4 linked regions of the Lonchura striata genome follow. The protein of the gene in region 2 purifies or fractionates together with the protein of the main gene of each other region. This does not show direct contact. Links are inferred from orthologs where the notes say so. Each region holds a gene or a part of one and is shown on either strand. Other genes may lie near its edges. The genes, in order: SMAD4, SP1, CEBPB and PRKCD.

Region 1 (7,024 bases), on a different chromosome or scaffold from region 2:
AGACGTGAAAAGTTTTGTGACAGCATTTTGTTGCTGTTGTGGGGGTATTTTTTGTGTTTTTTGGGGATTTTGTTTTGATTTGTTTGTTGCTGTTATGATTTTGTTTGTTTTTTGTGTTCTTTTTCTAACAGGCTTTGGAAAGAGTTGTCTCTCGCTGCGCTACGTTTGTCTGTAAGGAGCAGCGGTTAATTATCCGCCTGGCGTGGTTTTGGTTCCAGAAATGTGCGTCCTGCCGAGCCGGCAGGGCTGGCCCAGCTCTCCCTGAAATCCGAGGATTGGCGCGGAGCCACGGGGACAGCTGAGCGCATTTTGTGTTATGAATGGCGAATTATTAATTTGTGTTCATAATTAAATTCATTATTGTTGTTATTAACAATAGGAACACGGCGATGGGCAGCTCGGGGCAGTGGCTTTGGAACAGAGGTGTTTATAAACACAGGGTGCTCCGGGGCACTGCCAGAGCCCAGCTCACCCCTCTGGCTGCCCTGGCTGTCCCCAGACCCTGGCACAAGACAAAAACACCCGTGGCTTTGATTTTAGCCCATGGAAAAAGCTGCCAACTCTGTGTGAGGAGTTACAAGCCACAAGGGTTTGAGTGGCGTGGTGGTTGAATTAACACAGGGTGAAAAAGTAGAATTTTGGGGGTTTTCCAGTGGGGTTCAAGGGGACAAGATGGAGGGATTTGAGCATGTCCTGGCCTTCTCCTTCTCCTCCTTCTCCTTCTCCTTCTCCTTCTTCTTCTCTTCTCCTTCTTCTCCTTCTCCTTTTCCTTCTCCTTCTCCTTCTTCTCCTTCTCCTTCTCTTCTTCTCCTTCTCCTTCTCCTTCTCCTTCTCCTTCTCCTTCTCCTTCTCCTTCTCCTTCTCCTTCTCCTTCTCCTTCTCCTTCTCCTCTTCTCCTCCTTCTCCTTCTCCTTCTCCTTCTCCTTCTCCTTCTCCTTCTCCTTCTCCTCTTCTCCTCCTTCTCCTTCTCCTTCTCCTTCTCCTTCTCCTTCTCCTTCTCCTTCTCCTTCTCCTTCTCCTTCTCCTTCTCCTTCTCCTTCTCCTTCTCCTTCTCCTTCTCCTTCTCCTTCTTCTTCTCTTCTCCTTCTTCTCCTTCTCCTTCTCCTTCTCCTTCTCCTTCTCTTCTCCTCCTTCTCCTTCTCCTTCCCTTCTCCTTCTCCTTCTCCTTCTCCTTCTCCTTCCCTTCTCCTTCTCCTTCTCCTTCTCCTTCTCCTTCTCCTTCTCCTTCCCTTCTCCTTCTCCTTCTCCTTCTCCTTCTCCTTCTCCTTCTCCTTCTCTTCTCCTTCTCCTTCTCTTCTCCTTCTCCTTCTCTTCTCCTTCTCCTTCTCCTTCTCCTTCTCCTTCTCCTTCTCCTTCTCCTTCTCCTTCTCCTTCTCCTTCTCCTTCTCCTTCTCCTTCTCCTTCCCTTCTCCTTCTCCTTCCCTTCTCCTTCTCCTTCTCCTTCTCCTTCTCCTTCTCCTTCTCCTTCTCCTTCTCCTTCTCCTTCTCCTTCTCCTTCTCCTTCTCCTTCTCCTTCTCTTCTCCTTCTCCTTCTCCTTGCCCTCCATGTCTTGCTGTGCTGGTGACACTTTTCTGTTGGTTTAAGGTACAGACAAACTGTCCAACATAAATCATAGGTACTACAAACTATGTTTACATTATTGTAAGAGGTAGTTTTTGGTGTAGAATGTAAACACCATCCCAAGGGCGGATTCTGTGCACAGTGACCTGCTGGACAGAGCGCAGCTCCTTGAGAAAGAACGCTGCAGATAATAGAGAATTAACAACCTCGAGAAACCAACCCTATGCATTCCCACTCCTGCTTCGGCTGGGTGGGCTGGAAGAAAGGAATTTTGGAATTCTCGGGGTCACCTCCGCTGCCAGAGCCCCGAGAGCTGGGATGCGATGCAACGCTTGTGCTGCAGGGGTGGTTCTGCACGGCACCCAGCCCCGATGCAGCGGCCCTGCAGCTCCTGCAATGAAAACCAGCCCCGACATTGTCCCCAAGCTCACAAGGCCTCTCCAAGAGCTGAGTTCAGGGTGGCACTGCCAGGTTCACCACACAAACCCCAGCACTTCCGCTGGGTGTGAGGAGATCTCCTTGGCTGAGGGTGCAGGTGGCTGCAGGCAGAAGGGGCTGTGCTCGTTATCTCTTTAATTAGTGCTAATTCAACCCGCCCCTGGCACGCGGGGTGCTGCTGTGGGGCTGGCCAAGGCGGCAGGGCCACGAGTGCCCGGTGTGGGACACCGCCTTGGGCTGGAGATCTCATCTCCCAGCCAGAATTCCTCCAGGAAAAGGTAATTTGTGCCTCACCCGGCGAATCCTGGTGCGGAGAGGCTGCAATTACACCTAGGGATGACAAATGCAGCAGTATTATATATTGCTTTTCAACCTAAGGCCTTCAGCGTGTGGAAGTGACTGTAAATGACTGAACAGCAAGAGCAGGAAAAGTTTTGACAGGGCAACACAACAATTTTTTAAAATTCCCATTATTCTTGGTTCTCATTAGGGCGGCTGTGACAGCGCGCCAGTGCCTTGCCAAAATCCTGTTGGACTCAGGAAAAGCACATCGCATTTTTCCGGGGGCACAGCACATCCTGCCCTGTGTCCAATGCCAGCTCCACACTGCGAGGGCAGGAATGTCCAAGGCTTCAGTTCTAAAACAGCTTTTCCTTTCCAGCCGAGCTGGCCTGGGGAGATGAGGAGAGGGGAGGCAGAGCTGCGGGCAGGGCTGCGAGTGCCAAATTCTGGGAGAGTTCCTGAGGAGCTGGGAAGGGGCTGGAGAGTTCCTGAGGAGCTGGGAAGGGAATGGAGAGTTCCTGAGGAGCTGGGAAGGGAATGGAGAGTTCCTGAGGAGCTGGGAAGGGAATGGAGAGTTCCTGAGGAGCTGGGAAGGGAATGGAGAGTTCCTGAGGAGCTGGGAAGGGGCTGGAGAGTTCCTGAGGAGCTGGGAAGGGGCTGGAGAGTTCCTGAGGGAGCTGGGAAGGGGCTGGAGAGTTCCTGAGGGAGCTGGGAAGGGGCTGAGCCTGGAGCAAAGGAGGCTCAGGGGGACCTTGTGGCTCTGCACAGCTCCTGACAGGAGGGGACAGCCGGGGGGGATTTGTGATCTGTTCCCAGGGAACAGGGACAGGAGGAGAGGGAACGGCCTCAGGCTGGGCCAGGGCAGCTCAGGGTGGAACCAGCAGGAATTTCCCCATGGAAGGGGGCTCAGGAACTGGAACTGCCCAGGGAGGGTTGGATCCCATCCCTGGAGTGCCCAGGGAGGGTCCGTGTCCCGCAGAGCTCGGGGGTGCTGCCAGGGTGGGGAAGGGATGCTGCCCGCACTCCTGGTTCCCTGGGGCTATCCCGCATCCTGCATCCCGTGGGATGCTGTGGGATCCAGTGGGATCCCGTGGGACACTCTGGGATCCCGTGGGATGCTGTGGGATCCAGCATAATGATGGGGGCTCCATTGGGATCCCGTGGGATTCCATGGGATCCATAGTGACGCTGTGTGATACAGTGGGATGCTGGGGGTTCCCGTGGGATGCTGTGGGATCCTGTGAGATCCCGTGGGATGCAGCGGGATCCAGTGGGACCCAGCTGGACCCTGTGGAATCCAGTGGGATGCTGTGGATTGCTGTGGGATGCTGTGGAATCCAGTGGGATGCAGTGGAATCCCTTGATATCCCGTGGGATGCAGTGGGATCCCGTGATATCCCGTGGGATGCAGTGGGATCCCGTGATATCCCGTGGGATGCAGCGAAATCCCGGTTCCCCGGAGCGCAGCCCGCCCGCTCCGCTCTCCCCGCGGCGCGCCGCCCGCCAACCACAAACACAACGCGCCCGCCCGCGCAGGCGCCGCGGGACCCGGATGTGGCGGATGCGCGGCGGGACCCGGATGTGGCGCATGCGCGGCGGGACCCGGATGTGGCGCATGCGCGGCGGGACCCGGATATGGCGGATGCGCCACGGGGCCCGGATGTGGCGCATGCGCGGCGGGACCCGGATGTGGCGCATGCGCGGCGGGACCCGGATGTGGCGCAGGCGCGGCGGGACCCGGATGTGGCGCATGCGCGGTGGCAGCGGCCCGGACGTGTCGGGACCAGCGGCGGCGGCGAAAGCGACCGGAGCGAGCGGGACACGGGCACGGGCACGGGCACAGCACCGGCACAGCACCGGCACCGCACCGGCACCGACACCTCGGCAGCGGCAGCGGCGCCGGGGCTGCCCCGAGCCGCCGCCGCCGCGCCCGGGCCGGAGGCCCCGGCCTGCCCGCGCCCCCTCGGCGGCCGCGCCCAGGTAAGGCCGGACCGGCCGGGCCCGCGCCCGGGACCCTTCCCCGAACCGCGGCACCGGCCCGGCTCCCCGCGGGACGGCCCCGGGGCCGGAGCCGGGACACCGCGCTGGGCCGGGGAAACACCGCCCGGCCCGGAACAAAGTTTGGGATGTGGGAAGGGAACGGGCGAGCAGACACAGCGAGCAGCGCAGAGTGGAGAGCGACCCAGGGATCCTGTGCCCAGAGTGACCCAGGGATCCTGTGCCCACACTGACCAGGGATCCTGTGCCCAGAGTGACCCAGGGATCCTGTGCCCAGAGTGACCCAGGGATCCTGTGCCCAGAGTGACCAGGGATCCTGTGCCCAGAGTGACCCAGGGATCCTGTGCCCACACTGACCAGGGATCCTGTGCCCAGAGTGACCCAGGGATCCTGTGCCCACACTGACCAGGGATCCTGTGCCCACACTGACCAGGGATCCTGTGCCCACACTGACCAGGGATCCTGTGCCCACACTGACCAGGGATCCTGTGCCCAGAGTGACCCAGGGATCCTGTGCCCAGAGTGACCAGGGATCCTGTGCCCAGAGTGACCAGGGATCCTGTGCCCAGAGTGACCCAGGGATCCTGTGCCCAGAGTGACCAGGGATCCTGTGCCCACACTGACCAGGGATCCTGTGCCCAGAGTGACCCAGGGATCCTGTGCCCAGAGTGACCCAGGGATCCTGTGCCCACACTGACCAGGGATCCTGTGCCCACACTGACCAGGGATCCTGTGCCCAGAGTGACCCAGGGATCCTGTGCCCAGAGTGACCAGGGATCCTGTGCCCACACTGACCAGGGATCCTGTGCCCAGAGTGACCCAGGGATCCTGTGCCCAGAGTGACCCAGGGATCCTGTGCCCACACTGACCAGGGATCCTGTGCCCAGAGTGACCCAGGGATCCTGTGCCCAGAGTGACCAGGGATCCTGTGCCCACACTGACCAGGGATCCTGTGCCCAGAGTGACCAGGGATCCTGTGCCCAGAGTGACCAGGGATCCTGTGCCCAGAGTGACCCAGGGATCCTGTGCCCACACTGACCAGGGATCCTGTGCCCAGAGTGACCCAGGGATCCTGTGCCCACACTGACCAGGGATCCTGTGCCCACACTGACCAGGGATCCTGTGCCCAGAGTGACCCAGGGATCCTGTGCCCAGAGTGACCAGGGATCCTGTGCCCAGAGTGACCCAGGGATCCTGTGCCCAGAGTGACCCAGGGATCCTGTGCCCACACTGACCAGGGATCCTGTGCCCACACTGACCAGGGATCCTGTGCCCAGAGTGACCCAGGGATCCTGTGCCCAGAGTGACCAGGGATCCTGTGCCCACACTGACCAGGGATCCTGTGCCCAGAGTGACCCAGGGATCCTGTGCCCAGAGTGACCCAGGGATCCTGTGCCCACACTGACCAGGGATCCTGTGCCCAGAGTGACCCAGGGATCCTGTGCCCAGAGTGACCAGGGATCCTGTGCCCACACTGACCAGGGATCCTGTGCCCAGAGTGACCAGGGATCCTGTGCCCAGAGTGACCAGGGATCCTGTGCCCAGAGTGACCCAGGGATCCTGTGCCCACACTGACCAGGGATCCTGTGCCCAGAGTGACCCAGGGATCCTGTGCCCACACTGACCAGGGATCCTGTGCCCACACTGACCAGGGATCCTGTGCCCAGAGTGACCCAGGGATCCTGTGCCCAGAGTGACCAGGGATCCTGTGCCCAGAGTGACCAGGGATCCTGTGCCCAGAGTGACCCAGGGATCCTGTGCCCAGAGTGACCAGGGATCCTGTGCCCACACTGACCAGGGATCCTGTGCCCACACTGACCAGGGATCCTGTGCCCAGAGTGACCAGGGATCCTGTGCCCAGAGTGACCCAGGGATCCTGTGCCCACACTGACCAGGGATCCTGTGCCCAGAGTGACCCAGGGATCCTGTGCCCAGAGTGACCAGGGATCCTGTGCCCACACTGACCAGGGATCCTGTGCCCACACTGACCCAGGGATCCTGTGCCCACACTGACCAGGGATCCTGTGCCCAGAGTGACCCAGGGATCCTGTGCCCAGAGTGACCAGGGATCCTGTGCCCAGAGTGACCCAGGGATCCTGTGCCCACACTGACCAGGGATCCTGTGCCCAGAGTGACCAGGGATCCTGTGCCCACACTGACCCAGGGATCCTGTGCCCACACTGACCAGGGATCCTGTGCCCAGAGTGACCAGGGATCCTGTGCCCACACTGACCAGGGATCCTGTGCCCACACTGACCCAGGGATCCTGTGCCCACACTGACCAGGGATCCTGTGCCCACACTGACCAGGGATCCTGTGCCCACACTGACCAGGGATCCTGTGCCCACACTGACCAGGGATCCTGTGCCCACACTGACCAGGGATCCTGTGCCCACACTGACCAGGGATCCTGTGCCCACACTGACCAGGGATCCTGTGCCCAGAGTGACCCAGGGATCCTGTGCCCAGAGTGACCAGGGATCCTGTGCCCACACTGACCAGGGATCCTGTGCCCACACTGACCAGGGATCCTGTGCCCACACTGACCAGGGATCCTGTGCCCACACTGACCAGGGATCCTGTGCCCAGAGTGACCAGGGATCCTGTGCCCACACTGACCAGGGATCCTGTGCCCAGAGTGACCAGGGATCCTGTGCCCAGAGTGACCCAGGGATCCTGTGCCCACACTGACCAGGGATCCTGTGCCCAGAGTGACCCAGGGATCCTGTGCCCAGAGTGACCAGG
Region 2 (7,890 bases):
TCCCTGCATGGGGGCCAGCGTGATTGTCTGCGCCTGGGGGTTCTGCACCTGCAGGTTCTGCAGCTGGATGGTCTGCCAGCTCACCTGCCCGTTGGGACCCACCGTGGGCGTGCGGATGATGATGGGGCCGGAGTTGGGCACGGCTTGGAGCTGCAGGTTCTGCAAGGTGTCTTGGGAGATGGCTTGAGTGGCAAAGGTCTGCCCAGACAGCGGGGTGGTCTGGAGGGCTTGGATCGTCTGCCCTCCTTGGACCAGCTGTGGCTGGATCAGGAGCTGCTGCTGCTGCTGCTGCGACTGCTGACTCTGATCCCCCTCCTTCTGCTGCCCCGGCTGCAGGGCCACCCCGGACACCGGGGTCTGCAGAGAGTCCGAGCTGGGGACGCTGCTGGCCCTCTGGGGGGTCTGTGACTGCACGTTGGTGCCCACCGTGGCGCTGGTGGAGAAATTCATGACGCCCACGTTACTGGTGGTGGTGGTGGTGGAGTAGCTGTTGGCGTTGGTGAAGAAAGCGCCCGAGCTGGCCTGGGATGTGGCCGTGCTGCCCGAGCTGCTGGCAGCCCCCGAGGTGGCCGGCTGGGAGCTGCTGTCCGGCGAGCCCGAGCTGCTGAGGGTGCCCGTCTGGGACGTGGGGGCCAGGCTGGCGGCCACGCTGTTGACCGGCAGCAGGGTGATGTTGCCGTTCAGGGCCACGGGCACGTTGGCCACGTACTGGGTCTGCCCGGAGAGGCTGTTGTTGGCCAGCCCCACGCCCTGGATGGGCACGGCCTGCTGCAGCAGGTTGGGCATGGCGATGAGGTTGCTGCCGCCCGCACGGCTCGTGATGATCTGCTGGTTGGAGCCGGGGATGATCTGCAGCTGCCCCGAGGCATCCTGCTGCACGTTCACCTGCGCCGGGGTGGTGGCAAACTGCAGCTGCTGCCCGTCGATGGTCTGGAACTGGGGGATCACCTGGTACTGGATGTTGGGGATGACGCCCGGCAGGCCCGTCAGCACCTGCTGGTTCTGCAGGCCGGACGCCGAGGTGACCACGTAGGGCCCGGTGCTGACCGGGCGGCTCTTGGAGGCGTCGCCGCCGTTGCTGCCGTTGCTGCCCGGCTCCTTGGAGCCCGTGGGGGTGCTGGAGCCTGCCGAGATGATCTGCCAGCCGTTGGACGACTGGGTGAGCTGGGCGGCGGCCGCGTTCAGGTCCAGCTCGCCGCTCCCACCCTGCTGGCCCTGGGAGCTGTTGGAGTTCTCATTGGGAGACTCGATGCGGCTGCAGGTGGCTGCCAGCAGGGCCAGCGGGGACGGCTGTGACTCCTGGGGACGAGAGGAGGAGTTACGGGGCTGGGAGGCGGCCCGAGGGGCAGGCCCGGAGTGAAAAAAAAAAAAAACAACGGGGAAACAAAAAAAAATAATTAAAAAACCAACTTAAGAAAACAGGGAGGAGCATACTCGGAAAAGATAAACACTCCTTCCTGAACAAACCCACCCACAGCCGGAAAAATACAACTGCCAGGCACAAGGCTGACAGGCCGGGACAGCCTGAACCCACACGGAAAAGCCTTTTGGGAGGGAGCCTGCCCGGGAAAGCCAAGAGAGGAGAGGGCTCCTCCACTGCCGAGCCGGGCAATCCCCCTGAGGCACGACGAACCCCCAGGAAGGAGGGTCATTCCCGGGCTCCCCGAGCTGGAGACGGGCCAGCGGGGGCCGTGGTGTCACCGGGAGCAGGGGAACTGCGTGTTTCCGAGGAGAGCCGGGGAGGAGGGGAAGGCACCGGCGCTGCTTGGCAGCGCTCACCCTCCTCTTCCTGCCCGGGCTGAAACGCTTGCCCGGGCCCGGCAGACAGCTCAGCCCGGGCCTGGACTTTGCCACGGGCTCCCCGGGGCCAGCGGGGCCGATCCTCCCCCACTCACCTGCGTGTCCCCACCGCCGGCGCTGCTCGTGCTGCTGGCGTCGCCTTCGCCCTTGTCGGGCTTCACAGCCGACATCTCCTCGGTGCTCTCTTGGTCTGCGCAGGAGGGAAGGGACAGCCCCGGTTAGGGACATTTTGGGGCAGGGCAGCGGCACGAGGCTCGGCAGGGCCAGGCAGGGCCCGGAGGGGACACGGCGGGCTGGCTGCGGGGGGACCACGCGCTGCCGGCGCCGCCGGGAAGGGGCTGCGGAGCGCGGGGAGCTGCCAAAGAGGAGCTGGCAGCGGGACAGGGGGGGAGGTCCCGGCCGCGCTCCAGGGCCCGGCTCCTCCCCGGCCGCCCGGGACACTCCCTGGCCCCCGCCGAGGAGCTCCCCGGCGCTCCCGTCGCCCGGCCGGGGCACGCACCTCCCGCCGCGGGATCCCCGGCCCGGGGCTGCCCGCCCGCGGCGCCCCCAGCGCGGGGGGCTCCTCTCCCACCAAGTCCTCGCTCTGCCGGCGCTCAGCCGCCTCCTCATCCTCCGCCGGGCACCGGGGCTGCGCCCCGCTGCTGCCGTCACCCCAGCACCCCTCACCGGGGTCTGCACCGGGGACGGGGCGCGCAACGCCCCCGGCCGCTCGCTCCTTCCCGCGGCTCCCGCACGGCCCCCCCGCCCCCGGCTCCCGCATCCGCCCCCGCAGGGCGCCGTGCCCGGCTCCGGGGGAAAGCCCCCGGGCCGCTGCGCCCGCAGCCGCCCACCCCCGCGGCCTCCCCCGCCGTCCCCGCGCCCCCTCCCCCGGGATCTCGGCCGCCCCCCCCCGCCCCCAGCCCCGCTCCCCGGGGCCTCCCCATCACTCCCCGCCGCCCCCTCCTCCGCTCCAGCCCTGCCCGGCGCGGCCGCCGGTCCCTCCCCCGAGGCCTTCCCCCCTCCCCCGGGTCCCTCCCCCGGCAGGTCCCCCCGGCGCGGCGCGGCGAGGCCCGGCCCGGCGGGGCCCGGCCCGGCGGGGCGGGGCCGCCTCTGGCCCCTCCGAGCGGGCGGGCGCCGCCGCCTGTGCGTGTGCCCGGGGCCCCGCGCGGCGCTCGGCCCCGGCCCCGTCCTTACCGCTCATGGTGCCGGGGCCGGGCCGGGCGCGCGGGGCGGGGCGGGGGCGCGGGCGGGCGAGCGGCCGAACCCGCCGGTGCCGCCGAGGGGCTGCCGAGGGAGGGGCCGCGCGCCGCGGCCGCAGCCCCGCGCCCCGCCCCCGCCGCCCCCGCAGCCAATGGGCGCCGCGCGAGCGGCGGAGCGACGGGCAGCGCGGCCAATGGGAAGAGAGGGCGGTGCGGCGCGGGGGGAGAGGAGGGCGGGCGGTCCCCGCCCCCGGCACCCCGCCCCGTGGGGGAGGGGGAGCGCGGCGGGGCGGCGGCCAATGGGGGCGCGGGGGGGAGGGGGCGGGCGGCGGCTCAGCCAATCGGCGCCCGCGCGGGCTCGCAGGGAGACCCCGTATGGGCGCGGCCGCGGCGGCGCGGGCCGCGGCGTGATGAACGTGCGCCGCCGCCAATGGGGCGCGGGAGGCCGGGCGTGGCGGTCACCGGCAGCGCCCCGCGCCAACCGGCTGCGCGGGCCGCGCCGCGGGGCGGGAGAGGAGCCGATAGTGATGGTAGCGGCCGCTAATCCGAGCGCGGAGGCGGCAGCCGCGGCGCGGCCCGCAGCCAATCAGAGCGCCGCTCGGTCTCAAACGGGCCAATGGGCGCCGCGGGGGGGCGGGGCCAGCGGCCGGGCTGCGCCCTTGGGGGGACGGCGCGGCGGATGGCGGCGCCGCCATGTTGGGCTCGGCTCCCTCAGGGCCGGCCGCGCTCCCCGGGCCCGGCCGGGGCTGTCCCCGCCTCGGTACCGCGGGCTGCGTGCGGCTCTTCCCTCCTCGAGTCCCCGCTCCGTGCCGCAAGACGGCTCGGCCGTGTCGCGACAGCCGCCATGGCGGCGCGACACGTCCTCAGGAGCTGTGTGAAGCCCAGAGCCCTGTCACGACATCGCCCTGTCCCGACACAGCGGGCAGCCCGGCCGCCCTTGCCGTGGGAGCGCGGCCTGGGGGCTTTGGGGCCCAGATCCTTCATTTCACAGCAAAAGGGGCGCTTTGGGGGCGGCAGGGACAGCGAGGGACACGGCCCGGCCTTGGTTTCGCTTTCCACCGTCAAAATCGCCCCCCGTGACCCTCCCATTTCCCGCTGTTTTCGGCCCAATTCCCACCCCGCAGCCCGGGAAGGCCCCGCGGCCTCGGCCCCGCACCCGACGGGGCTTGGGGACAACCTGGCTCTGACCCTGGCCCTTCCCTGTCCCTGCCCTGTCTCTGCCTTATCCCTTCCCTTCCCTGTCCCTGCCCTGTCCCTGCCGTGTCCCACTCTTGTCCCTTCCCTGTCCCCATCCTGTCCCTTCCCTGCCCTGTCCCCCTCTTGTCCCTGTCCTGTCCCTGCCCTGTCCCCATCCTGTCCCTGCCCTGTCCCCCGGACCATGGGGGTCACTCGGTGTCCCCTTGTGACCCGCGATGGTGGCACCTGGGGTGGTCACCGGGACTGTCCCCGTCCTGCCACCGGAGCTGAGCCCGGGGGCTGCGCTGGGCTGGGGGGTCGAGGGCAGGTCCTGGCCCGTCAGACCCCCCCTCACCCCGTTATCCCAGCCGGGTCCTTGTCCCGGTGACCCCCTCCGGTAACTGCCCCCTCTGGGGACACCCATGGCCCCCCAGCCCCGTCGGGCCTCCTCCAATTAACACCCCCAATTAACCCCTCCCTGCCCCGGGACCCCTCCCCCGTGTCCCCGCGCGCCCCCCGGTGGTCGCGGCCGGGCGGTGCCGCCCCCGGGCCCGAGGCTTTGCTGCCGCCTGGCGGGGGCGCCACGGGCACCGGCAGTGTCACCGTGTCACCGGCAGTGTCACCGACAGTGTCACCGAGTGTCACCGGCAGTGTCACCGTGTCACCGGCAGTGTCACCGACAGTGTCACCGACAGTGTCACCGGCAGTGTCACCGTGTCACCGACAGTGTCACCGACAGTGTCACCGTGTCACCGACAGTGTCACCGACTGTCACCCGCCATGACAGGACCCGGGCACCAACGGTCACCGACTATCACTGACAGTGTCACCGACTGTCACCCACCACAGTGGGACCTGGGCACCGACTGCCACTGGTCCTGCCCTGGCACCAGCACTGTCACTGGTCCTGTCCTGGCACCAGGAGCGTCCCTAGCAGTGTCCCCCGTCGTGTCGTGCCCCCAAGGGTGTCCCCAAAGCTGCCCTGTCCTGTCCCACACAGTGCCTCCATCCCTGCCCTGTTCTGTCCCCATCTCTGTCCTCAGCCCTGTCCTGTCCCCGGGGTTCTCACATCCGGGTGCTGTCCTGTCCCGTGTCCCCAGAAGTGTCCCCAACCCTGCACTGTCCCTGCGCTCCCTCTGCTGCTGTCCCCAGGCCTGTCCTGTCCCCATCGTGTCGCTGTCCCCGCCTCCCCCTGGCCGGGGCGGCTCAGGGCACGGGGACAGAGGAGCCTCAGCCTTGGACTGGGGGCAAACTGGGAGCACTGGGGCGGGCCGGGGGGGGCAGCGGGGTTAGCCTGGGGTGCCCCACCCCCGCTGCCACCCCCCGATTGTCCCTCTGGGTCCCCCCCTCCCCCGGCAGGTCGCGGCCGCGGAGGAATCAGGGCGACGCCGGGCGACTCCCAGCAATTTTGGGTTGGGAACCGCAGAAATGCAGCGCGGCGCGAGCCAGGGCGGATCGGCCCGGGGACAGCGACGGGCGGGGGACCGGGGGGGGAGCACGGGACCGGGGGGTCACAGCCCCGGGGGGACCGGGGGGGGACACAAGGCACCGGGGGCTGAGACACCCGGGGCATCCTGGGGGGCTCAGGGCTGGGGAGGGGTCGCTGCAGGCTGGGGGTGGTCCCAGGGTCAGGGGGGTCCCTGGCAGCGTGGAGGGGTCCCGGGATATTGGGGGAGGGGGTGTCCAGGCGTGGGGGGAGTCCCTGGCAGCTTGGGGAGCAGGTGGGGTACCCCAGATTTCCATGGGAGGGTTTCGGCAGCTTGGAGGGGACAGGGGGCACGGTGGCAGCTTGGGGGGCTCCTCTCGCAGCCTGCGGGGGTCCTTCAGCAGCCGGAGGGGGGGCCAGGCCCCCGGTGCCGCCCCCGCGGCTGCCGCTGCCACCGCTCTGATGTGGCTTCGGCACCGCAGCGCAATGGGAGCCACATGGCGGGGGGGACACGGGGGGAGCACACGGACCGGGGGGCGGGCTCGGGGTGCCCGCGGTGCTGGGGGCCACCGCTGTCCCCCCGGGAGCACCCTGTACCCCCGGGACCACCCTGTCCCCCCGGGGCACCACTGTCCCCCCAGGACCACCCTGTCCCCCCGGGGCACCCTGTACCACCGGGGCACCACTGTACCTGTCCCCCCGGGATCACCCTGTACCACCGGGGCACCGCTGTCCCCCCGGGGCACCACTGTACCACCGGGGCACCGCTGTACCACCGAGACCACCCTGTACCCCCGGGGCACCACTGTACCTGTCCCCCCGGGACCACCCTGTACCTGTCCCCCCGGGACCACCCTGTCCCCCCGGGGCACCCTGTACCACCGAGACCACCCTGTACCCCCGGGGCACCACTGTACCTGTCCCCCCGGGACCACCCTGTACCCCCGGGACACCGCTGTCCCCCCGGGAGCACCCTGTCCCCCCGGGACCACCCTGTACCCCCGGGACCACCCTGTACCTCCGGGACACCACTGTCCCCCCAAGGCCACCCTGTCCCCCGGGGCCTGCCCGGGGTCTGTCCCCGGTCCGTCTGTCCCCACCGGGGGTCCGTCCGGCTCGGTGCCCGTGTCTCCCCCCCCGCCCCCCGCAGTTATTTCCAGGGATAATTCCGGGATAATTAAAGGGTGGGAGGAAACACCGGGGCCGCGGGCGCAGCTCAGCCCCGGGGCCACCCTGCGCTGGCTTCCCCGTGGGTGGGAGCCCCCCAGCCCCACTGCGGGTGCCCCTCTGTCCCTGCAGGTCCCTGTCCCCGTCCAGCCCCGTGTCCCCACACGTCCCCCGGCTCCTCCTGCCCCCCACCTTCCCCCCGCTTTCCTCCTGCCCCGCAGACCCTCCCTGTGCCCCGCCTTGCTGAGGGGCATCTCTGGGATGCCCGGGAGGGCTCCGAACACCGGGTGCCCCCCGTGGGTGGTGCTGGGTGGGGGGAGCTCGGCCCAGTTCCGAGCCCTCGGAGCCTCCGCCGGTCCCCCCGGTCCCGCGGGGCCCGTGGGCGGCCGTGGCCGGCGCACCCAGCGCGGGGGCTGCGCTATTTCGGGGCCTCCGACCGCAAGGGAAACATCCGGGGGCCGGGGAGGGCGGGCGGGGCAGGGCCGGGCCGGGGGGACACGGGGGACACCGCGCCAGGTGAGGGGTGGGGGGACGCGGGGATCCCCGAGCTGGTTCCGCTTCCCCCCCCCGACCCCGAGGGGCTGCGGTGCCCCCGCCGACACCGCGGGGATCGGGGGGGACAGCACTGCCGGGACCCCCGCACCGGGCACGGAGCGTTTCCTGGCCCCGGGGACCGGGATGGGGACAGGGACACCTCCGGCCCTGCAACCCCTGTCGTGCTGAGACCCCCCCAAGACTCATCTCAGGGGGCTGAGACCCCCCAAACTCGTGTCATGGTGGAGCTGAGATCCCCTCAGATTTGGGACAGAGCGGCTGAGCCCCCTCAAATTCGTGCCAGCTCCGGAGCCACGCTGATAAACGGGGGAGGGATGGGAAGGAGGGATGGAGAGGAGGATGGAGGGAGGGATGGACAGACGGACGGTGGCTGGCCGGCTGCCCGTGGACGGAGCCCCCCCGCTCCGTGTCCCCCCCGCCCTGGCGAGGTCCCGGCGTCCGGCCGGGTATAAATACCGGGTAATTGCGGGGGCCCGGCGCGGCCGCGGGGCCGTGGGCGGCCGAGCCCGGCGCCGCCCTGTAATCAGCCCCCGCCGCCGCCCCCCCGCGCGGCCGCCGCGCTTTGAAGGGTCCCGGGGCACACGGGGG
Region 3 (6,430 bases), on a different chromosome or scaffold from region 2:
TATGTTGCCCCTTGCCATACACCCCATGGAGTTCAGGCTGTCTGTCCCACAGCCTCAGGACTGCAGAAGAGTTCTCTTTTAGAAATTTCCTAAATGAATTACCAAGTCCTGTTACTAGGAACTTCTGACACTCTGTAGGGTACCCTGGAAGGGTAGAATTCATCTCTCTTGATGGATCTTTTGAAAGCTTGGATACTCCAGATGTCATAAATGCATGACCTGTAACAAATTCATCAAAGCAGGAGGCTGCAATTACCCAGGAAATGTCAGGCAATTACAGAGAACTTTTGAAACTTAGTGGACAGCAACTTCTCTGCCATTTTAATGGAGCACAAGGAAACGGGCTACTCATAAAATACAGCCACCTCTCACTGTCTCTGCTCAGACTGCCAGCCCACATCCTTCCAACAGACAGCTCCTGCAGGGACTTTGCCATGCAGGATGGAGATTGTGGCCTGTGCTTCCATGGGCCTTGGTGTCCTGACTCTTCCTCCTTTCCTTGTTTCTCAGCGCCACAGGGTGGCTGCTCTGACCTCAGGTTTGCTCTGGAAAGTTTTCAGTCTGGTCGGGAGGGCATTTGGCTGATGTTGTCCCACTGGAGTCAGTCTCCAGGTGTCGTCTCCACTCACCCGCTGGGGCAAAGAGCAGCGTGGAGATAAAGGGGATTGAGCAACGCAGCGCTGCAAAGGCCAAGCCTGCTGGGTCAGAGGTGAGAGAAAATCAGCAGAAGACCAACAAAAAGCATGTCCCAGCCCATCACCGTGTCCCACGGGAACAGGGTGAGGGAGCTGGGGGCAGGACCCCGGTCTGTAACAAAAGAAGAGAAGGAGGCCACAGACACAGCCTGCCCCTGGGACTGCCAGCGCGGCACCAGCCACGGGGCAGCAGGGCAAAGCTGTGGCAATCCCTTTTCGTGTTCAAATGAAGCAAAGTCTCGAGCCTGGCCTGAGCTGGGCAGACAGATGGAGAGCCAGCCTCTCCCTTGAGCTGAGACATTGTCCCTGCCTGGCATTCATCAAGGGCTGTTGTTTTACAGCAGAGAACAGCAAGTGAAGAGCAATGGTTTCAAACCTGTGCTCTGCCAGGTGCAGCTGCTGAGTTGCTGTTGGCATATGGTGTGCAGCTGAATAAAGAGAGACCTGGGGCTAGGCAGAAGGGAAAAAAGGGCTCAACATGCTCAGAAATAAATTTCAATGTTACTTCTCTATTCTACAGCCTTTATTGCAACACTGTTCTTTTAGGCAAGGTCCCCTCCTACCCCCCAGAGACCTTCCGTGCTTGTTTGCAGGGACGCTGCTCTGGGGTCCCTCCCGTTCCCCTCCTCACCTCCAACCCCTCCCGCAGCACCTCAGGCACTGCTGTGGCTGCCGGCTGCTGGCATCGCCCTCCTGCCCGCTGCCCTGCTCTGCCCCTCTGCTGCTGCACGAGCAGCTCCAGCACCAGGCAGCTCTGATCTTACTGACCTGCTGAGAGCGACTGCCAGGGGAATAATAAATGGGGCAAAACTGAGCAAGAAACATCAGAAATGTCAGCCAGGCTCTTTCCAGAGACCTTCTGATAAACACTCCAGTGTCTGAGCCATCCCCACTAAACTCACAGCATCTCCCCAAAGCTGGTGTCGTTCCAGAGGCAGCTGCTGTAGACCTGGAGTGTGTGAACTGGAAAGTTTGCAAGAAATCCTGGAAAAGAAGACAATTTCCAGGAAGAAAATTCCTCTGCGATGCTTTACTGTGGGTCTGAGCTGCAAAGTTGAGGCTTCCACAATACAAAAAGAGAGAGCAGAGTTTAATTCATGACAGAGATGAGCAGTGAGGATGAGATTCTTCCCTCCACCTTTTCACCATGCTGGTCTCCTTCTGTTCCCCTCCCTTTGTCTGGATTGTTTTACATATGAATGTAGAGGAACCTGGATGCTATTGCATCAGAATTTTTTCTCAAAAATGTTATATTCTTACTAAGTAATTTGGGACTTTTGCTGTCTCCTCCCTTAGCTGAATAGTTCTGAAAAAAAAAAGAAATTATGAAATCACTAGAAGGAAGGTGCTTTTCACAGAAGTGCTGCTTTTATAATGAAAATTGCTCTGCTGGGAGACAAGCTGAAGGGCTGCTGCCAGTGCCTGGGTCCCTTAACCAGGAATGTCTGCATCTCCCTGCCTAAAGCACCTCTGAGGAGCTTTTCAGGCCAATTTTCAGGACAATTATTAGCAGTCTCTGCACATCTGGCAAGGCCGAGCCAGGCACTCACAGGCACGGAGCCCTGTGTGCCCAGACCTCGGCTCAGTCCTGCGGTGTGAGCCTCGTTCTGCACCTGCTCCCATTTCCAAATCCCCACTCGTGGCCGTGCATTTGTTGTGACAAGTGCAGAAATAATTTAAAAGAGACCAGAGTTAGCCCCAAACCTGCTTGCCGAACGCTGGGGTTTTGGATCCGTGGTTAGTCCCGCCAACAAGGTTCCCATGAGAAGCTGGGAGCGGACGTTGGCCCCAGGAGAGTGGATGCTGGGATTTGAGGTGAGCTGGAGGAAGTTGAAAGGGATCCAGGCAGAGCAGGGAGGTGAGGGGGAGAGGGAAGGAGGGGACAGGCTGGGCAGCGGCCTGGATTGCCGCCCGGCTGGCGCGGTGGGGTGACTGCAGGATTACTCAGCGTGGGCCGGCAGGATCTGCTCCGCGCGGCAGCGGCGCGGACGTTTCACTGCCTTTTGTCAGGGAAGGTCAACCCCGGCAGGAATACAGCTTTCTGCTGCACAGCAGCCGAGGGCAGGGCAGAAATCTGAAGAGGGCAAACGCAGATCCCCAAAACCGTCGTGAAAATCTCTTCAAGAACTTCACCGAGCAGCTTTAGCATTCGGCTTCAGCTGAGGACCACGGCGAGCTGTGGACACGTCGGGGCGATGCCAAGGCAGACCAGCTGTGCCTGCAGCGGGTCAGTGCCCAGGAGGGCTCCTGCCCTGGGGCCCTGGGACGGTTTGGGGTAGGAAACACCAGACTGGTTTTTAAGAGTTCGGTTGGAAGGGCCAGTTAGGGCAGCCACTGGATGTAACTGCCAGATCAGAATGCAGGATAAAGGCACAGGATGAGGGAGTAAACAGCCAGAAGAACAAGCCCTGGCTCACTGCAGCTTGCCAGTATTTGCACCCAATACAGATGTTTGTATTTATGAAGGTATGGGCTCCAACTACAATCTCCAGACCCAGCTCTCTGGCCAGGCCCAGCTCCAACTTAATCTCTAGTGCATTCACCAAAGATTAACTTGGTAGATAAAGATGGAACTAGAAATATTTGAAGCCTGAAAACCTGTTAGGGAGCTTTTGTTATGGAAACAAACAAATAAATCCTATTAAAACGTGAAAAGAAAAATAAAAAAAAAAGAGAAAGAAAAAGTCTGATGATCCACTGACTGATTCTTAAATTCTTCCTCTTTTCAGAGTTCTGAGGTTTGAACATTAAGAACAGTTGACTGTTTGAATCATATAATGCAATACCTGTTCCTCTGGCTTAACGTTACAATATTTCCCACACCGCAGGATTGCTTCACATTATTCTAAGAGGCAGTGTCATTTTCCCTGCAGTGCTAGGTCTTCTTTACTGAGGGAGGACACTCCTACTTCCTTTAATTATATGTTTTGTTTTAAATTAATGTCCTTTATTCTGGGCATGAATCATCAGCTTGTAGACAGGTAAATGTGGGAGTAAGAGAGTGAAAATATAAGTTTGATTCCCAAGGTGGGTGTCTTTAATTAAAACGGACATCGGGATTCAGTCTTCCTTCCCAAACTTACCCCGCAAATCTCAAAACTTTTGGATTCCACCCTCTGATGCACGAACCTCACTCTCCTCTGGCCCCCATTCCGTCTCCTTTGGCTCCAGAGCCGGTTCCCTGCTCCCGGCTCCCGTGGGTGCCCTGACAGTTGCCCCACATCGTGCAGAGCAAATATGCCAAGACAAACGCTAGGGCCCCCATGGGTGCTGGAAGCGCCGGGAGGCAGCGCTGGCTTGGCCGGGCTCCGGTGCTGCGGCCGCCAGGAGGAGGCCGGGGCAGTGCCCTGCTCCAGCCCCATCGCTCGGCCCCGGGCTCGCCGCTGCCCAGCGGCTCTGGGCACGTCCCTGTGGCACTTCTGTGCCAGTGGGATTCGCCAAAGCGAGCCCGGGACGCCGAGTAACGGGATCCGGCTTTGGTGTGCAGCTTTCCCCCTTCTTTGCCAAAAGAACTTGGAAAAATCTCTCTTGCCTTGACTTCCCCTAGGGAAGCGGAGCGATCTGTGCCCAGCCCCGGGCACTGCCAGCCCCGGGCACTGCCAGCCCCTCGCTGTGCGGGCCCCGGCAGAGCCCGGGCGGGCACGGGGCAGCGGCAGCGCCCGGCACACGCTGTCCCCGGGGCCGCCCGCTGCCCTGCCCGCTGCCCGCTGCCGTCCCGGCCGGCCCTGGCCGCGGCAGCCCCGACCTCCCGCACCTGCGGGCCCGCAGCCCGGCCCCTCCCTCCGGCCCGGCCCGGTGCACTGTGGGCGGCCCGGCGGGCACCGCTCGGCACCGGCGCGCCCGCCCCGGGAGCCTCCTCCGGGGCCGGGACCGGCAGCGCCGAGCGTGCGGAGTGGCAGGCGGCCAGGCGGTGACGCGCCTGTTGCTATGGGATCCACCGCCCCTATAAATAACTGGGGAAAGGAACTTTCCTAAGTCAGAGACTTTAGGACACGGGACCCAGAACCAGATGGTCCGGAGGAGACGCGCCAGCCCCCGCCGCAGCTGCCGGAGCGGTGAAGCCCCGGCGCGCCGCAGGGACTGATCCAGCCCGGCCGGGCAGCGCCGCGGGGCCGTGCCCAGGCCAGAGACCGCGGCAGGGTCTGGAGCCCCCCACCCTGACGGCGGCAGCTTGAGCCTCTGCCGGGGGGGGTCCCCTGCGTCGTTTCCTCCTCCCCGCATCCCCCTTTGCTTTCATGCAACGCCTGGTGGCCTGGGACGCAGCATGCCTCCCCATCCAGCCGCCCGCCTTTAAATCCATGGAAGTGGCTAATTTCTATTACGAGGCGGACTGTCTGGCTGCTCTCAACAAGCTGCACCCGCGGGCGGCCGGGGGCCGCTCCATGACCGAGCTCACCGTCGGGGACCACGAGCGAGCCATCGACTTCAGCCCGTACCTGGAGCCCTTGGCGTCGCAGCCGCCGCCTCCCGCGGCAGCAGCAGGGGGCAACTTTGAGCCTCCGTGCAGCAGCGGCGCCGGCCAAGATTTCCTTTCCGATCTCTTCGCCGAGGACTATAAAGGCAGCGGCGGCGGCAAGAAGCCCGACTACACCTACATCAGCCTCGCCCGGCACGGCCACCCCTGCGCCAGCCAGAGCCACAAGCCGGGGGGGCTGCAGGGCTGCTTCCCGCCCCAGATCGTGGAAACCAAAGTGGAGCCGGTCTTCGAGACCCTGGACTCTTGCAAAGGGCCCCGGAAGGAAGAAGGGGGCGCGGGGCCGGGACCGGGGGGCATGTCCTCGCCCTACGGCAGCACCGTGCGCTCCTACCTGGGTTACCAGTCGGTGCCGAGCGGCAGCAGCGGGAACCTGTCCACCTCATCCTCCTCCAGCCCCCCCGGCACCCCCAACCCCTCCGAGTCCTCCAAGTCCGCCGCCGCCGGCGGGGGCTACTCCGCCGCCCCGGCGGGCAAGAACAAGCCCAAGAAGTGCGTGGACAAGCACAGCGACGAGTACAAGCTCCGCCGGGAGAGGAACAACATCGCGGTGCGCAAGAGCCGCGACAAAGCCAAAATGCGCAACCTGGAGACTCAGCATAAAGTCTTGGAACTGACGGCCGAGAACGAGCGGCTGCAGAAGAAGGTGGAGCAGCTCTCCCGGGAGCTGAGCACCCTCAGGAACTTGTTCAAACAGCTGCCCGAGCCCCTGCTCGCCTCCTCGCCGCGCTGCTGACCCCCGGCCGGGCGGCGGGGCAGCGGAGCCGCCGCTTCTTCCCGGCCCCGCTCCGCGCTCCGGGGCCGGGGCGAGGGCCCGAGAGCCCGCGGCGGGCGGGCGGCTTTGGTTTTCATTTGCGTTGTTGTTGTTGTTGTTGGATTTTTGTTTTTTTTTTTTGTCTCTATCGACATGTTGGCGGAAGGCTCCGCCGCCGCGCGGGGTCTGAGCGGGGCCGGGGCTGCAGCGGGGCGGGCGGGGGGACCCCGGCCCCGGCCCGGGCGGGCTCTGCTGGGCGCTGGGTTATTTAAAAGAGCGAGAGGAGAGCAAGGGCAAAGTGATGCAATCCTTTAAGCATGGCTGGGAATGCTGTGTACATGATGCAATCTCGTGTAACTGTCAGTCATGGATTGAGTAATCTGTTAAAGATGTTCCTACAGTTTTTTTATTATAAAGAATAATCTATTTCTATAAGAAAATACATATGTATATTTTGGGATCTATGCATTCTTGCTACATTTGAAGCATTAATGAACAATTTTAATA
Region 4 (7,542 bases), on a different chromosome or scaffold from region 2:
TAAACCTTAAATTAAGACCAAAAATCATTTTTTTTTCAAAAGAGATGAAAAACCAACCAAGAAATCAGAAAACATTGCTTGTGTTCTTTCACAGCACGGTTTTCTCAGAGGAATATAAAACCAACTGTGAATAGGACTGTGGTGAGCAAGAAAATTGCTTCCTGCAATACATACACTTCCTTGTTCTCCCATCTATATTAACTAACAGCAAAAAAAAGCTGTCATAAGGGGAAGTAGAACACTTACATTGCTCAGAATCAACATTGGCAGCTGGCATGTTGAAACCAAATGTAAGGGGGTGTAGGCAGCAAACACCATAAAAACCTTTTTCTAATTTCAATTATTCTTAAAAACTAACTACAGTCTCCAATGTTCAAAATGCAGGGATCAGTCTCCTACCCTCAACAACAGAAGGCAGCATGGGGATATTTGTAAAACTTCAAGAGACTTTGTGTTCCTCTTATACGTAGCCCAGATTTTCAATCCTTTAGGAACTCCAAGATGACATGTGCATGTACCTTCTGGACAAACACAAAAAATAGGTTTTATTTAAGAAAGACAAAAAAAAAAATAAAAAGCCCAAGATTTTAATCCAATTACTTCCTCAAGGAAATAAGGCTTTAAAAGCACCAAACATAACAAGAATTGGCAATGCTCTAAGCAGGCATTTCAGCAAAACAGTCAGGAAACTATTCACTTGTCTGGTTTATAAATGAATCTTATATAAAAGTTCCTTCAAATGATCAGAACTTTGGAGTGGTCGGGATATAAGCATATCTCATTTTAATCTCAAATTCTTAAGGTTCTATTCTGATAACAAAAAAGCCTCTGCAGTAACTTAGTTACACAAACATGTTGAAATTCACATGATTGCATCTGACACCAGGATCTTCGCCAGCACAGCCACTAACTTCTACATCTCATACTCCAGGAAAAAAAAAAAAAAAAAAAATCATTCCACTTAAACTCTGCTAGGCACAGAATATTACTCATATTCAAGCTCTAAAACACAGCAAATGAAGCACAGAGATGATAATTTCTCCTAGGTGTAGTGCCTATCCACAGTCTCTCCCCTGCAGAGTGCTCTTGCCTGTTGCACAGGCACATGCAACATCCATACAAGCGAACCCTGACAAAGTAGGAAAAACACAACTCAGCTCCAAGTTTGAAAAAAATGGCAAGCAGACCAACTCAAAGAAAAAACTCTTCCTTAATCAGTATAAAAAACTGCAAAGATAAGCAGTAGAAATTAATGTATGTTGTTATCAAAAGAATCTTTAAAGTTACAAGGTCAGGAAAGGCAGCCTTATTCCTGTTTCACCTGGACATCAGCCCAAGTTTATGGCACCCAGGCCTTCACGTGACCAAATCAGTATCTGTCTCATTGCTAATCCATAAAGAGTTCATGCCCTTCACAGAGAAAAGCATGAAAACCTGGAGGAAAAGCCTGACAGAGAATACAAGCCTCTCATCTCAACCTTAAGGCAAAGCTGAAGACAATGAACAATGCTCAGAACACTTCAAAAAGTGAATCTACACAATAGACCACAGACCCGTGTAGAAGGTTATGGGTGGAAACTCCCACCACCACCAGACTCTTCACACCTCCCACCACTATCAGAAAAGAGGAAATGAGAGCCGGCATTTGGTGGTTAGGCTTGGGACTGAGAGACCAGTGAAGTCCTGCTACAAAGTGGGGCTGTGAAAAAAAAAATGGCAGCAACGGCCATGACTGTTTTCTGTTCTGAAATTACACTTTTGCAAAAGGCTTCATCTTTGCATAAATGAGGTATCTACCATCAGGATTAAAATCAGGTTTGTTTGCTGGAGGTAACAGATACTGTAGATATAGTCTTTCAGCTCACAATAGGTTATTACACACTTGTGAAAAGCAATTTTGCACCAGTCTGCCTCAGAAATCTTCAGAGAAGCAGTTCTTAACTTCCACTAGAAAATTTTTGTTTATATTTGCTGCAGAAAATTTTATCTCTAACTTTTGTTTCTAATGTGCATGTTCAAAGTCACATCACCCCTTACTGTCATCCTATCATATGGCAAAAATTAAGTGACCCCAGGTAAAGCAGGTTTTCTCTATGTGAAAATACAAGAGAAAATCCAGCTGTGGGAGGCCCTGGTAGTTCATCTTCTCCCCAGAGATCCCCTGGAACAAAGCAGTGATTTACCATGGGATTGGGAATTATTGGGATGTCTATCCAGCTACCAAAGAGATGACATGTTTTAACTCAGCTTGAGACTGTTTTCTTTTTTTGAAATATCCAAAGGCACATTTCAGGAAAATGGATCAGAGACAGTAATGCCCTTTTCCTTTCCAATAGTTACCCTGTAATCACTATGAAATCTAGTATTTCTTCCTATTTACTTAGAAGCTGACAGAGAGTACTGCTAAAGGATGTTCACTTAGAACTGATTTTCATCCCCCTCTCAAATCCACTGGACATAAAATGGCTTAATAAAGCCTTCTGAGCTGCATTAAAATCTATTCTGAGGAAAGACTCTCTCCAGCTGTAGGAGCATTTCCATGCATTAAGCACAGCTAAGTTGTATAGGAAAAATTACAGAAAATAGGCAGCAAGAAAGTCTCAGTACCAGGAAACACCTCAAATTTCTAAAGTCACATTAATAGCTGAGAAGACTCTCGCATTTCATTTCCTGTGGATCAAATTTTTACATCTTTACTCAGCCCTAATCCAACTTGAGCCCATTGTCTGAGCAAAGATGTGAGAGGCAAAGCTCTTTAGGTCTTGCAAAATTTTCCACAGTCCAAATGAGAAATGACTCTTTGTTTCAGAAAGACTTGGACAAAAGTAATGCTCTAAATAATTGAAATACAGCAGTAGTTAACTAATGGTCTGCTGCAACATTATATGGTCAGGTCACAAATGAAAATGGACTCTCTCTGACCATTTACATGCCATTAAATGCTCAAAGAGCATGAAGCTAAATAAAATAAATTTTAAAGCACTGTTTCCAAACTTCTCTGGACATATTGAAATGAGGAAAATTCCTCACTATAATTAGCTTCTGCTTTTTCTTCTCTCATTCAAACTAGTTTTAGTTTTGCTTTTATTACATGACATTCATTAACTGCTCAAGCATATAAAGCTTCTCCAGATTTCAGCATAACAGCAGCCTATATGATTTTAAATGAGGGTCCTCATACAATTTATTACAGCACTATAGCTAATCAGATTACATTCTCTCCCCAAACAGAGAAATATTATTAAATGTTCCAGCCAAAAACAACACCCCACACTTAATCATGCGTAAGAACATGTATCTGTACAAAATACTACATAGTTTAATTTGCAGCAGAAGTAGAAAGGAAATTACCTCAGATGACTCTGTTCCTTTGCTTTCACCCAAACTGTAATATATCTACTAGAGCTCTCAATTTTGAAAAATATTTCTTCAAATTAGACTCTTCAAGTATAAATTAACTATTGACTGATTTATATGCCTATTATAGCCTTTCCAAGATGATGTCAGACAGCACAAGCAAGGAACTTTGACATTACCTTATAACTGTCAAGTGAAATGTTCTGGAAAGAAGCTGGACATCACATGGGTGGAATTTGGCGTTTCAGAATGGACTCTGCAGCAATGTAACAGCTGGGTCACAGCCCCTGCAGTGGTGACATCCGCACTGCACACCAGGGGCTGGCACCTGCCCAGAGAAAAACCCAGTTACCACAGCACCACAGAAACACTGGGAATTTCATCACCGTTTTCAGCTAGAGCTGAATGAGGTCATTTAAGATGAAAACCTGAGAGCAATTCTACATGACCTGTGCGAGTTAAAAAGTGATGACAAAGGTCTGCCTTGAAGTATAAAGGTGTTTTCTCTGGTTCCTACACTTTACCCATTCCTGTGCTGCACCCCATCCCTAAAATACCTCATTTTAAAACAAACGCTTACAGCACTTGAAGAAACACCGAGCCCCATCACTCAGAGCAGAGCACGGACTGGGGTAGCCCCGGCTGGGACCCAAAATGACCCCGTGAAGGCCTCCAAGGCTGAGGTCTCTGAAGTGAGCTCGCTCAGGCGACGGCAGCGACCGCAGAGCTACGCGGTTCGGCCGTGGCTTCTAAGCCATTAAGGAATGTTTTAACCAAAACCGCAGTAAAGGCTGAGGACACCTGAGCACAGCTCAGCCCTGCAGACGGGCAGGGGCTCGCTCCGAGCTCCGGCACCTCAAACCCCGGTGCTTCCCCGAGTCCGGGTGACCAGCGGAACAACACCTCCCAAACCCCAACCACCACAAGAGCGCTGCCGCGGCCCCTCCCTCCCTCGGCACGGCACCGAGCCTCGGGCGGGGCTCCCCCTGAGGGCTCGGGCGCTGCCACACGCGGCCAGCGCCAGGGGAGAGGAGAGCAGGGGCAGCAGGGCGGGGACGAGCCGCGGGGAGCCCGGCAGGGACGGCCGGCGCCTGGCACGGCAGCTCGGGGCGGGGCGGCGGCAGGAGCAGGTGAGCGTGGCCGCAGCCGCGCCGGGGCGGGGCGGAGCGCGGGGCCGGGCCGGGCCGGGCCGTGCCGGGCACACTCTGCTGCCTCCCGCCCGCCGCTCCGCCCGCACTCCTTCGCTCTCGCTCTCTGTTTCCCGGGACAGCGCCCGAAACTCGGCGGTGGCCGCGGCTCCCGACGGCTCTCCGGACGCGGTGAGTGCCCGTACCTGCCCCCGGCGCGGCGCTGCCGCCGCCCGGCAGTTCCTGCCCCGCCTGGGGTGAAGGAGGAAGCGAGACGGGCTCCGGCTCCCTCCGGCCCGCCCGGCTTCCGTGGGGCGCCCGGCGCGCAGAGCGAGCGGGAGGAAGAGCGAGGGTGCCGGGGCTCAGCCGCCGTGCCCCGTGTGCCCCGGGCAGCGCCCCGGCGCCGGCTGGGGCGGGAGGCGGCGGGGCTGCGCCCCCGGCCCGGGGCTGCCTCCCCCGAGCCTCCATGCTGGGTGCGGGGATGGGGCTGCGCCCCCGGCCCGGGGCTGCCTCCCCCGAGCCTCCATGCTGGGTGCGGGGATGGGGCTGCGCCCCCGGCCCGGGGCTGCCTCCCCCGAGCCTCTATACTGGGTGTGGGGATGGGGCTGCGGCCCCGGCCCGCCCGAGCCCCCTCGGCCGCTGGGGAGCGGGGCGAGCCCGGGGGCTGCGGCGGGCACAGCGCTGTGCCCCGTGCGGGCGGGCGGCGAGACCCCGGGGTCCGTCCCTGACAGGAGCGTGGAGTCTCCTCCCGGCAGAAGTAACGACTTTGATACCACCAACTTTTTCTACCACCTGACTCTCTGTTCAGCCTCCGTGCTGCAGTGAGTTTGGGCAGATGAAATGCACAGTCTTTCGAATGGTCAGTTTCCAGCTGAATGGCGACAGACAGTAAGAAATGAAGGAGCAGGAATGCCTGATGCTTTTGTGTACGTACATGCCAGCCGTGCATCTATTAAAAAACAATTTTCAGTTCATTGCTAGAGAATTCCCCACTTGCATCAGAGCATGAAATATTAAAATAATTGGATTACAGCATTTTGTGGTTACATCTGACATTAGTTTACTTGCGGGCCCTGATTGTTGTTGCACCACTTCACTTCTAGATTGTCCAAGTAGCACTGAAGCAGAGAGCAGAGTGTAGATCTGGACCTAGGAGGTTTATGTGCAAGGATGACACTGCCCTGTATCCCATCCTTTCATATGTCCGAGGAGAGAACTGACTCTGCAGAGCAGATGGGTGTGGGAAAATCAGTTCTAGTACTAGATCTCTACCTAGTTTTAGAGACTTGTTTAAAGCCTGAACTGCCATGTTTAGTATCTCTACAAATAACCAGTATAAAAATCCTTGATACCCTTGCAGTGTGTTTTGTTCCTTTTAAATCTTTTTTGCTCCAGACTTGTACAGTCAACAGTCTATTAACAATGTAATAGCAACTTAACTCTTTAGCTTTCAGTCTGTCAAATAATGCCATGCAGCACTGTGCTAATCACATAGGAAGCTGTAAGCAACATAGATTTCTGAGCAGGAACACTATGAAGAACTGCTTCTTAAGTGGTTAAGCAGTAATTCATAAGCATTTTTTAAGTGTATATGCAGGGTTTCCTGTTTATTTTAGTTTTGAAAATGGCTGTGTTAAAAATGAGCTGTGTGTCTTTGGACTGATAGATTTCAGTCACCCCATGTCACTGCTGTGGAAACCTACAAATACTAAGGAAAGGAAACAAACCTGCAAAACATGGGTTTAGGGTTTTTTTTTTTAATGTTTCTGATCCTCATCTTAGATTTCATAATAAAATACAGGTGTGTGCTTTAATTTAAGAAATTATTAAATGCTGGCATTTTCAGTTTCTTTGACCCACACAGTTTTGCTATGTTTTGTAAAATTGAATACATCTAAGTTCTAAGGACATATGATTTTCAGAATGAAGTGCATTATTTTTGAAACTTCAGCTAAAAAATTCAAAGGTGCAATAGGATATTTCACTAGTTGTTATTATTTTCCTGCACTGCTAAACACAAAAGAACTTAGGGGCAGCGCAAAAGAATTTAGATTTGGGAATCCTTTGAGATTTTCATCCTGTATCTCATAATTCAGATTTAGGTATGAAGGAATTGCTGCCACTCAGTGGCTGACACAAACATACAGAAAAATATATTCAGTTACACAGATGTGATGTTCTCTGTGGGTAATGGGAAAGTTATAAGGTGATTCTACTCAGGCAATATGTGTGACATAATTAATCAGGAAGATGCTCGTATTGTTATCACCAGAAAAGAGCTCATTGTTAATTTCTTTGCCATTTTGTGCTTCATTAATTAAAACCCACCTTTTCATTAGACATAATCATACAGTAGGGTCCTGTTTTTTTAATTGAATGGAATAGTGAAATAGCATAATAATTTTTACTTTTTGGTCACACAACATAGATGAAAAGATACTCTGTACAGAAGGAATTATTTAGAAACTATTTCTAACTTATAACTTACATTTTCTAGGTACATTTCTTAAAAAGAAATCTTTAGAAGAATCCCTTAAAGATAACTTGGCTAATTGATGCTATATAGATCTAGGAAATAACAATAAATCTTGGAAAGATGCCGTCTGTTACTAAAGTAACTGATTTCCCAGGAAAAGCATAGAAGCTTTCAGGCTTCAGAGTTTATTTTGACGTCTAAAAGCCGCAGTCATTACAAGTAAAGTCCATTCAGAGTAAGTCCCATCCCTGGAAGTGTTCAGGGCCAGGCTGAACAGGACTTTAAGCAAGCTGCTCTAGTGGAAGGTGTCCCTGCCTGTGCCAAGGGGGTGGAACTGGGTGGTCTTTAAGGTCCCTACCAACCTTTACCAGCCCGTGATTCTGGTGAGTACTTTAGGGCCTAATAGCTTAAATTAACCGTCCATCCTTGTTCCCATTTGAAGGGCTGCACTGTCAGCCTGCCTCTGTGCCGAGGCACAAATCTGCCCTCTGCCCAGCCACAGCTGGAGCTCAGCTCTGCTGCTGCTCCCACAGAGAGGGGCCCCTTCCCCACCTCTCAGTGCCAGCTGTGCCTGGAGGTGGG

Evidence for each region.
Region 1: the proteins of SP1 (region 2) and SMAD4 purify together in Homo sapiens (affinity purification with western blotting; 4 studies listed by BioGRID and IntAct, with this or other methods). This does not show direct contact. The link is inferred for Lonchura striata from reciprocal best matches to the Homo sapiens genes SP1 and SMAD4.
Region 3: the proteins of SP1 (region 2) and CEBPB purify together in Homo sapiens (affinity purification with western blotting; 4 studies listed by BioGRID, with this or other methods). This does not show direct contact. The link is inferred for Lonchura striata from reciprocal best matches to the Homo sapiens genes SP1 and CEBPB.
Region 4: the proteins of SP1 (region 2) and PRKCD purify together in Homo sapiens (affinity purification with western blotting; 3 studies listed by BioGRID, with this or other methods). This does not show direct contact. The link is inferred for Lonchura striata from reciprocal best matches to the Homo sapiens genes SP1 and PRKCD.

Annotation. Positions count from the first base shown.
Region 1 is NC_134642.1:1,015,978-1,023,001, reverse strand, and holds the start of SMAD4 (mothers against decapentaplegic homolog 4), read left to right. Parts: upstream 1-4,007; 5' UTR 4,008-4,261; intron 4,262-7,024. UniProt on the Homo sapiens protein: In muscle physiology, plays a central role in the balance between atrophy and hypertrophy. When recruited by MSTN, promotes atrophy response via phosphorylated SMAD2/4.
Region 2 is NC_134629.1:8,069,522-8,077,411, reverse strand, and holds the start of SP1 (transcription factor Sp1), read right to left. Parts: upstream 3,019-7,890; 5' UTR 2,981-3,018; coding exon 2,974-2,980; intron 2,539-2,973; exon of another isoform or gene 2,300-2,538; intron 1,991-2,299; coding exon 1,896-1,990; intron 1,327-1,895; coding exon 1-1,326. UniProt on the Homo sapiens protein: Transcription factor that can activate or repress transcription in response to physiological and pathological stimuli.
Region 3 is NC_134619.1:966,729-973,158, forward strand, and holds CEBPB (CCAAT/enhancer-binding protein beta), read left to right. Parts: upstream 1-4,657; 5' UTR 4,658-4,930; coding exon 4,931-5,905; 3' UTR 5,906-5,920; downstream 5,921-6,430. UniProt on the Homo sapiens protein: Important transcription factor regulating the expression of genes involved in immune and inflammatory responses. Also plays a significant role in adipogenesis, as well as in the gluconeogenic pathway, liver regeneration, and hematopoiesis.
Region 4 is NC_134614.1:8,628,288-8,635,829, reverse strand, and holds the start of PRKCD (protein kinase C delta type), read left to right. Parts: upstream 1-4,536; 5' UTR 4,537-4,676; intron 4,677-7,542.